Tribolium castaneum: one gene and its partner. The main gene of each other region encodes a partner of the protein of the gene in region 2 in a complex. Links are inferred from orthologs where the notes say so. Each region holds a gene or a part of one and is shown on either strand. Other genes may lie near its edges.

Region 1 (3,289 bases), on a different chromosome or scaffold from region 2:
AACGTTAAATATAAGCCACAGAATGTCAGACGAAGTAACTTTTGACTACGTTAGAAGCCTAAAAGACAACAGACAGGTTCTTCTAATTGATGTGAGGAACCCGTCGGAATTAGCGCAAACTGGAACAATTCCTGGAAGCATCAATATACCTTGTAAATACCCTAATTAACTTATGAATTAACTGCAAAGTACTTCATTTCAAGTGGCCACTTTAGAAGAAACGCTGCAGAACACAAGTGATGAACAATTTCGTCAAGTTTTCCGAAGAGAAAAGCCTACAAACACCACGCCTTTAGTTTTCAGTTGTCAGTCGGGGCGGCGGAGCCGAGCTGCGCTAGATTTAGCCAAAAATCTGGGATACGTAAAGTAAAACATTCGTTTTGTTCCGTCTTTAATTAAAGTCGCCTGTGATTTTTAAATTTAGTTGGCAACTAGATGTTGCCAACTTAATTCGAAATCATAGGCCACTTTGACCCGAAATTTAAGTTCAATTTTCAGCGCCAAACATTTCCCTGGGGGATGGACCGGTTGGGTACAACAATGTAAAACAAATTAAGTAATAAAAAAACTTTATTTATACGTAATAAACACTCAATTCTACGAAATTAATTTTTCTTTTCGGCCAGTTTGGAGTTGACCATTTCCCTGAACTGTCCCAAAATCCTGTTCTCCCTCTTCTGCCGTTCTTCTTTGCTGAACATGGCCAAAGCCCGCTTCTCATCAGCTGAATAAATCTGGTTTTCTTTCCGTATCCTCACAGCCTCCATTCTCCTGTGTCTTGAGCCGGACATGACATAACCCACGGCTTCAAAACTTTCAATTTCTTCAGACGTGAGTCCAATTTCACCTCTTCTTGGTATCCGTTTTCCTTCGGCGACGTACGCAGCCATGGCAGCCCCCTCACCAGGGAGCAAAGCCTTGCCCATTTCCTTGTGAGTCAGGGCGGCATGGGGCTTCAAAATGGGGCCGACGATCACCTCTTCGGTCTCTTCCGCATTGGTTTGGGGTTTGTTGGTGGTTGTGGTCTTCTCGACCCACTCTTCCTCCCCTGAACTGCTCTCACTTGAAGACTTCTTCTTTTTCTTCTTCTTTTTATGCTTCTTGTGGGATTTTTTCTTTTCCTTCTTCCGTTTTTTTAGCTTGGGGGCGTTCTTGGTGACGTCTTCGACGTCACTGTCGGAGTCTTCGGGTTCGGGGGATTGGCCCCAAATGCTGGGGTAATCCCTCATTCCGAGGATCTCACGCTCCTGGCGTCGGGACTCCATGAACTCGTCCTCAAGGTGTTTTTTCTTTGTGACTTCATATTTGTCGTTTCGTTCAAAACCGTTTGTTGTGGTGCCTCTGGATCTAGACCTGCGTCTGCTGGAATGGCGGTCTCTTGACCTGGAATGAGACCTGGACCTGTGTCTCCTATTACGATCATTTTTAAACGATCTATCAGTTTTGTGTCTCCGGTGGTCCGGGGAACGGGACCGACTGCGTCTGTGTTTTGCCACATCCATCATTTCGTAAAAAATCAATTTTTTTACAATAACATAACCTTTAAAAAAAACTGTCAAACTGAAGTCACTTTACGTCATTCCCATAAGCTAGAATTGACATTTGCTCAAACCATTTCAAATTTTAAGGAAATAAATAAAACACAAAATGCGTCGATTTGCTAATTTTTATTCATACAACGATACTACAATTGTAACTGATTAAAATTCGGGTTTGGTGCAAGCCATGGCCCCGCACCGATTCCTGCAGCACTTTTTAGCCCCCCTGCAGTCCGAGTCTAGGGCACACCTGCTGGAGCACACCCAAGGGCCTGACGGTGCAACTGGACAAGACCCTTGTTTCTCTAAAACACAAATTAATTTTCTTTAAAAAAAATTGTATCCATTTCACCTCCTCTTTGAATTCGCCTCGTTGTTACAGGGGCCGTACAAAAAGTGCCGCCACAAGCCGTCCGGCAGCATTTGAAATGGCCGGCACAGTGGTTGTCTTCGAAACAGGCCACTTCACAGATCCCCACGTTGGGGTACGGGGGGCAGTCTCCCGATTTTGTTCGAGGCCTTTGGCCGTACACAAAAACAGTTAGAAGGGAAAGGATTAAGAAAAGTTTTGCCTGCATTGTTAACACTTGTAGGGCTTTAAGATGAATGGAATTGGATGTTGTGTAGGTGCAAGAGTCGAAGAAACGGAAACCACAAAACGACAAATTGAAATTTTGATTAAGTGTGCGGATTTAGGGCGGATGTGGGGTTCCACTGCGGTTTGCGCAATTTAGTAATTGGTTGAAATCTACAAAAATAGAAAAAATGTATTAAAAATTACCCATTTTTATTATACTTGTATTAATTTACTACTGTTTTTTTCTTCAATTCCTGCTGCTAAACAAAATTAGGTCAAAAATTTTAGTTTTTTGAGCGTTTCATCGCGTTTTCAGTCAGAAAAGCGTCTGCTGTGAGTAAAGTTTTATCAGAGAAGTCACACTATTTCAATCGTTATACAGTTTCACGTTTAAGACTGTAAACAGATTGAACCAAAAGTATAACAACAAAATTCACATTTAGTTTAAAAACAAGCCACCTTAAATATCTTAGTAAAAAAAAACAAAAAAAATAAAATTTTTGAGACAGGTCAATTTTTATTTAAAAAGAAACATTTAAAAAATCTCTTATATTTATTTATATTTATATTTATATTTGATTTAGTTATTTTTTTATCTTACTCAATATAATAAAATGGTCGATTGGTAAATTTTTTCTTATTTGAATTTTTCAAAAAATTTATTAATACGTGTATTATACACGTAATCAATAACAAACAAAAATTTCGAAAAAAACAATTTTTGAAAACGCTTGGTTCTATACTTCCGCCAACGCTGTATAAAAAATGCAAGGTATGATTATAAATTATAAAACGACCGAAAAAAATTGTTTTTATTACTATATTATTTAGATAAAAAAAATTTAAATGCATATTTTTTTCTTTTTCTTTTTAACGCCATTTCTTAAAATTGTTTTTTATTCTTTGATCCACTTTAATCGTTCCTTGACTCAGAAAGCAACTCAACCTCGAACTTTTGGAAGGAAACTAGTATTGCAAACAGCTAATCAAAAATCAAAGACAACAGTTACTATAATTGTGCGTTTAAAGCCCCGTTTCTCGTACTATTAAACCTCAGTTAAACCTCCGTTATTATTTTACCAGAAACTAGACCTAACCATTTTTTTACTGCTTCTTCTAGCTACTCAAAATTTTTAACCATAAAGAAGAACAAAATTCGGGGCAAAAAAAACAG
Region 2 (4,520 bases):
ACTCCTAATAAAATTTATCAAAAAATTATGTACCATTTTTTAATAAAAAAAAAATGACCAAAAAATGGGCTTTTTCATTTTATTTTTTAATGACATAGAAGTTTTTTTTTCAAATTCATATACAACGTTGGGCAAAAGTATGGAACCAAGCATTTTATGCTTAAACTATGTACCTTACGAAAAAACTAATTATTAAGTCATCGACTACTTTAAAAATGTGATAATTTTTTAAGAATAAAATTTTTTGAAATTTCTTTTAGTCTACGTGTTATTAATTTTTTTTTCAAATGGCTTCCTCCTATGGCGATTTTTTTGGTAAAAGATTATGTTCTAAAAATAACTTCTACTTTAAAAAAATTAATTTTAAGCCATGTTTTTTTTTTCATAAATTATTATTATTATTTGAACTTAATTTTTTTATAGAAAAATAAACAAATCACGTTTCTAACCGTTTTAAACTCGGGAATGATTCAACGTTAGAACAACACCCAGTTGTAATGAAACTATTTTGTGCAATACTTTTCATAAAAATTCAATTTCAAATTTTGCGTTCAGTTCCACTTCAGACCTCCTTAATATAGTTCAGTGGCGCAGCAAGGGAGATTGTTGGGGGTTGAGAACATAATCATGCAAAATAATTTAAGTTGCAGTAATAAAACAAAACTTTCCAGACAATCATTGTAGACATTCGATTTTTTCTACTTCCGAAAATTCCGAGAAAAGCAACCCACAAAATCCATATTTTCGTTATATTTCAGAAAAATCTTCGGAGAGGTTTTTTGTAAAATAAATGCTACATTTCTGATACCATGGTAGAAATAACTTTTTGAGTAATGACGTTATTTTTTATGAAAACCGACATTTTTAACAGATTACTGTTTTTGATAGTAGGTACACTCCCTTATCTTTCTGGTAATAATAAAAAAATAAAAAAAAATAATATTATCTACACAAAACAAAAAATACCAATATTATTTACCGATTATTTTGCATATATTTTTGAAAATAATTAAAATAGAAACACTTAAACAAAAATATTAAAACAATTACCACCTATAAAATAAGGCAGGAAACAGACAGATAAAGCTTTTTGTGTGAAATTCTTAATAATTTTTGTAGCTACAAAATGTGAGCTATACAACAAATAACCTTGAATTTAAGACAATTTTTTTTACATTATTTTTGCCCCGAACAACATTTCCGAAAAAACATTCAGCAACATATTTATTTTTAGTTAATTTTAAGTGCTACAAGGAACTAAAATAATCATATGCAGGTAAAGAGCTCATTTTTCATTTCTGCGTCGTTATTAGTTTACTAATGAAAAACATATTTTTACGAAGGTAAACCCCCATAAACTCTATCTCTGGCTGCGCCACTGGTATAGTTGTTCAACCTTCAATTGAAGAGTACAGGGGAAAAACAGGAAATAACTACTTTTCAAGAATTTGAACTAATAATGTCATGTAGTTTTTACTATTTTTTTAGCTCAAGTTATAGCCCTCCATAGTCAAAATTAAAACTAATTAACTAAAAAAAGTTGTTTTTCTTTGAATGACGTTCGTCATTTTTCCCTTATACTTATCAATTTAAAAATTACTTAGTAATGGCCTCCAAATACTGGCGACTGTTTGCGTTTTCCTGCCTTGTGACCACCTCAGGATGTAGGGTAAAGTCGGGTGCGAAAAACTCCAAATATTCGGTGTAGGGCAATTCATTTGAAATTTGTTCATCCACAAGTAACGAAGTTTCGTAAGTCCAACACCTCGCGACATTTCTCAGCGTATAACCGCCACCTCCAACCACCAAAGTTGGAACATTCAGACTCTTGACGAACTTAACACACTCCCCGTGCCCTTTGGTACTCAGGGAGAAACACCCCAGGCGGTCGTTGGCCAAGGAATCGGCCCCACATTGTAGTACAATTGCAGTGGGTTGGAAAAATTCCATCACGCTTGAAATGACCGGCTTAAAAACCATCCAATAGCTGGAATCGTCGATTCCTTCCTTCAGCGGCACGTTGACGGAGTAATAACGGCCACTTTCCGCCCCCACTTCGTACATATCGCCCGTGCCCGGGAAGAAATAATTGCCGTATTTGTGGAAACTGACCGTCATGACCCGATCAGTGAGATAGAAGGCTTCCTGGACGCCGTCTCCGTGATGCACGTCGATGTCAATGTATAAAACCCTCGCGTGGTACTTGAGCAATTCTAAAATCCCAATCACAATATCGTTAACGTAGCAGAAACCACTGGCTTCGAATTTCTTGGCGTGGTGGAGCCCCCCTGACCAATTAACAGCAATGTCGCAGTGGTTATTGTTCAGTTTCATGGCCCCCTCGAGCGACGCCCCCGTGTACATGGAGCAGAAGTCAAACAGCCCCCAGAAGACCGGGCAATCGTCCCCCACGTTATAGTGACTCAGATGCTTGGTGAACGCTTGGATGTTCTGCGGCGTGACTTTTTGCAGAAAATCTACAAGTGTGGGGGTTAAGGCAAGTGAAATTACCGTGGTGGCTTTACCGATGTATTCGTCCGAGTGGAAGCGACACATGTCGTGGGCGCTGGCCTTGTAAGGCCGGTAAATCTGCATGTGCTTGTGCAGCCCGTAATTTAACACTAAGCTGTGGATCACAGACAGGCGGTGGGGCTTCATGGGGTGCCCCGTCCCGTAGTGGAAGTTCCCCACGTCAGGGTTGAAGAAGTAAGACACTCGGTGCTTCGACATCACGCCGATAGCTCCTTCCACACGTACAAAAAATACAAAAACAAAACTATAACAACAAGGCGTTTCGTCAGCCAAAACCTATCCTCCGGCATGCTTCCGGATAGCCCCCATTGTGGTTTCTGATAAAACAGCCCCCAAACAAACGTGACGTTTCTGCGCCTCACTACCAACCGAACGACGCAAAAACACCCATTAAGAAATGGTGTTGTCGTAAAGATTATTATCATTAATTACAGAACATATTTCACAAATAAAACTCTGGACGCAATGTTGTTTTTGAGAATAAAGACGAAATTTGCCCATTTGAGTCTGTTTTAAGCGTTTTATCCCCCGATTTTCGTCGAGACTTTGTCACCAACTCCAAAACCAAAATCCCCAAGTTTGAAAATGGGCATCAAAGACCTGTGGACGCTTCTGGCCCCTTTCGGGGAGCGTAAGCCCCTCTACGAGCTGCAGGGCAAGACCGTGGCCATCGACTTGTCGTGCTGGGTGTGCGAGTCGCAAAACGTGACCGAATACACGGTGCAACCCCGCATGTACTTGAGGTTAGGTGACTGACACCGGTTCAAAATTTTGATTTTTTTTTCCAGAAATTTGTATTTCCGCACTTGTTACTTGCTCCTAATGGACGTAAATGTGGTGTTTGTGCTCGAGGGGCGCGCCCCCGAGCTCAAATACAAGACGATCGCCGCCCGCAATGCCCTGCAGTTCAAAGGGGCGAAGCCCAAAAATGGGGCCAAGACCAAGGACAGGTCGAGGTTTAATCACACGTTGAAACGGTGCGAGGAGATGTTGAGTTTGTTGGGGCTTGCGTGTGTGACTGGGGAGGGCGAGGCCGAGGCTTTGTGCGCACAATTGAATGAAACTGGGGTAAAAACATATTTTTTTTTCTAAGGTTCAAGGGGTTGTTTTAGCTCGTCGATGGGATTATTAGTCAGGATTCGGATTGTTTCGCGTATGGGGCACGTGTCGTTTATCGCAATTTTTCCATCTCGCAGCAGGGCAATCAGGCGGCCAAAGGGGGCTCTGTGGACGTTTATGACATCAGTGTGGCCAATGAGCGACTGAGTGAGTCCCCGAATTGCGAATGATTGTTTGATTTTTTTATTTTATTATTATTTTTTTCTGATCAATCCATCAATTTATTATCCAAATATACAATACAGGAATTATTTCGACAATTTTTAAAATATCTGGGAACCTACCAGAAAGATTACTTTAATTACACTTACAATTTTTTTGGTACATCAGAAAAATATTTATCAAAATAATTGGCTAATTTTTCACTGTTGCTAATTTATAAATTACCCACTTTAATAGGGATATTCTCAAAAAATCTGCTACAGCCTATAACTCTTTACATTTCATAGCTAAGAGAGCTAAGAAATAAATTTCTTAAAGATCGTCGAAAGTATGGATGAACAATTTATTTTGTATAAACTTTCGTAGTAAGTAATTAGTAGAAAATTAACAACTGGAAAAACAACACTAGGGCAATAGGACAATTTGAGGAGGAAAAAAAATTGCCTCCTCAAGAAGAGGGAAAAAGTAATGGGTTTCTGTAAGGTTTACATTTAGCTCCGTTAGAGTAAATTTCAGAAAAATTCCCGTTCCTAACACAGAGAGATCTAACACCTGAAAATTTTCTTGAACCAGAACCAGAAAATAGTAAATAGCAATGCAAACACATAAAGGAACAACAAAGAACCTATCTATTAGAGAAAATCAGTCTATTACTTGAGAATAAGCGAAGAATTATTTGCCGAATATAGAAAAAGTGATAATAACCA

Evidence for each region.
Region 1: HDAC3 (region 2) and NKAP family protein CG6066 share a complex: the UniProt entries of both Homo sapiens proteins name them as parts of the notch corepressor complex. The link is inferred for Tribolium castaneum from reciprocal best matches to the Homo sapiens genes HDAC3 and NKAP.

What each region holds. Positions count from the first base shown.
Region 1 is NC_087400.1:4,954,094-4,957,382, forward strand, and holds NKAP family protein CG6066, read right to left. Parts: upstream 1,598-3,289; 5' UTR 1,506-1,597; coding exon 606-1,505; 3' UTR 553-605; downstream 1-552. Other genes in the region: waprin-Rha1, read right to left, coding at 1,701-1,843, 1,891-2,116. UniProt on the Homo sapiens protein: Acts as a transcriptional repressor. Plays a role as a transcriptional corepressor of the Notch-mediated signaling required for T-cell development. Also involved in the TNF and IL-1 induced NF-kappa-B activation.
Region 2 is NC_087401.1:11,246,677-11,251,196, forward strand, and holds the start of HDAC3 (histone deacetylase 3), read right to left. Parts: upstream 2,893-4,520; 5' UTR 2,731-2,892; coding exon 2,526-2,730; intron 2,478-2,525; coding exon 1,601-2,477; intron 1-1,600. Other genes in the region: flap endonuclease GEN, read left to right, coding at 3,118-3,275, 3,321-3,600, 3,645-3,798. UniProt on the Homo sapiens protein: Histone deacetylase that catalyzes the deacetylation of lysine residues on the N-terminal part of the core histones (H2A, H2B, H3 and H4), and some other non-histone substrates.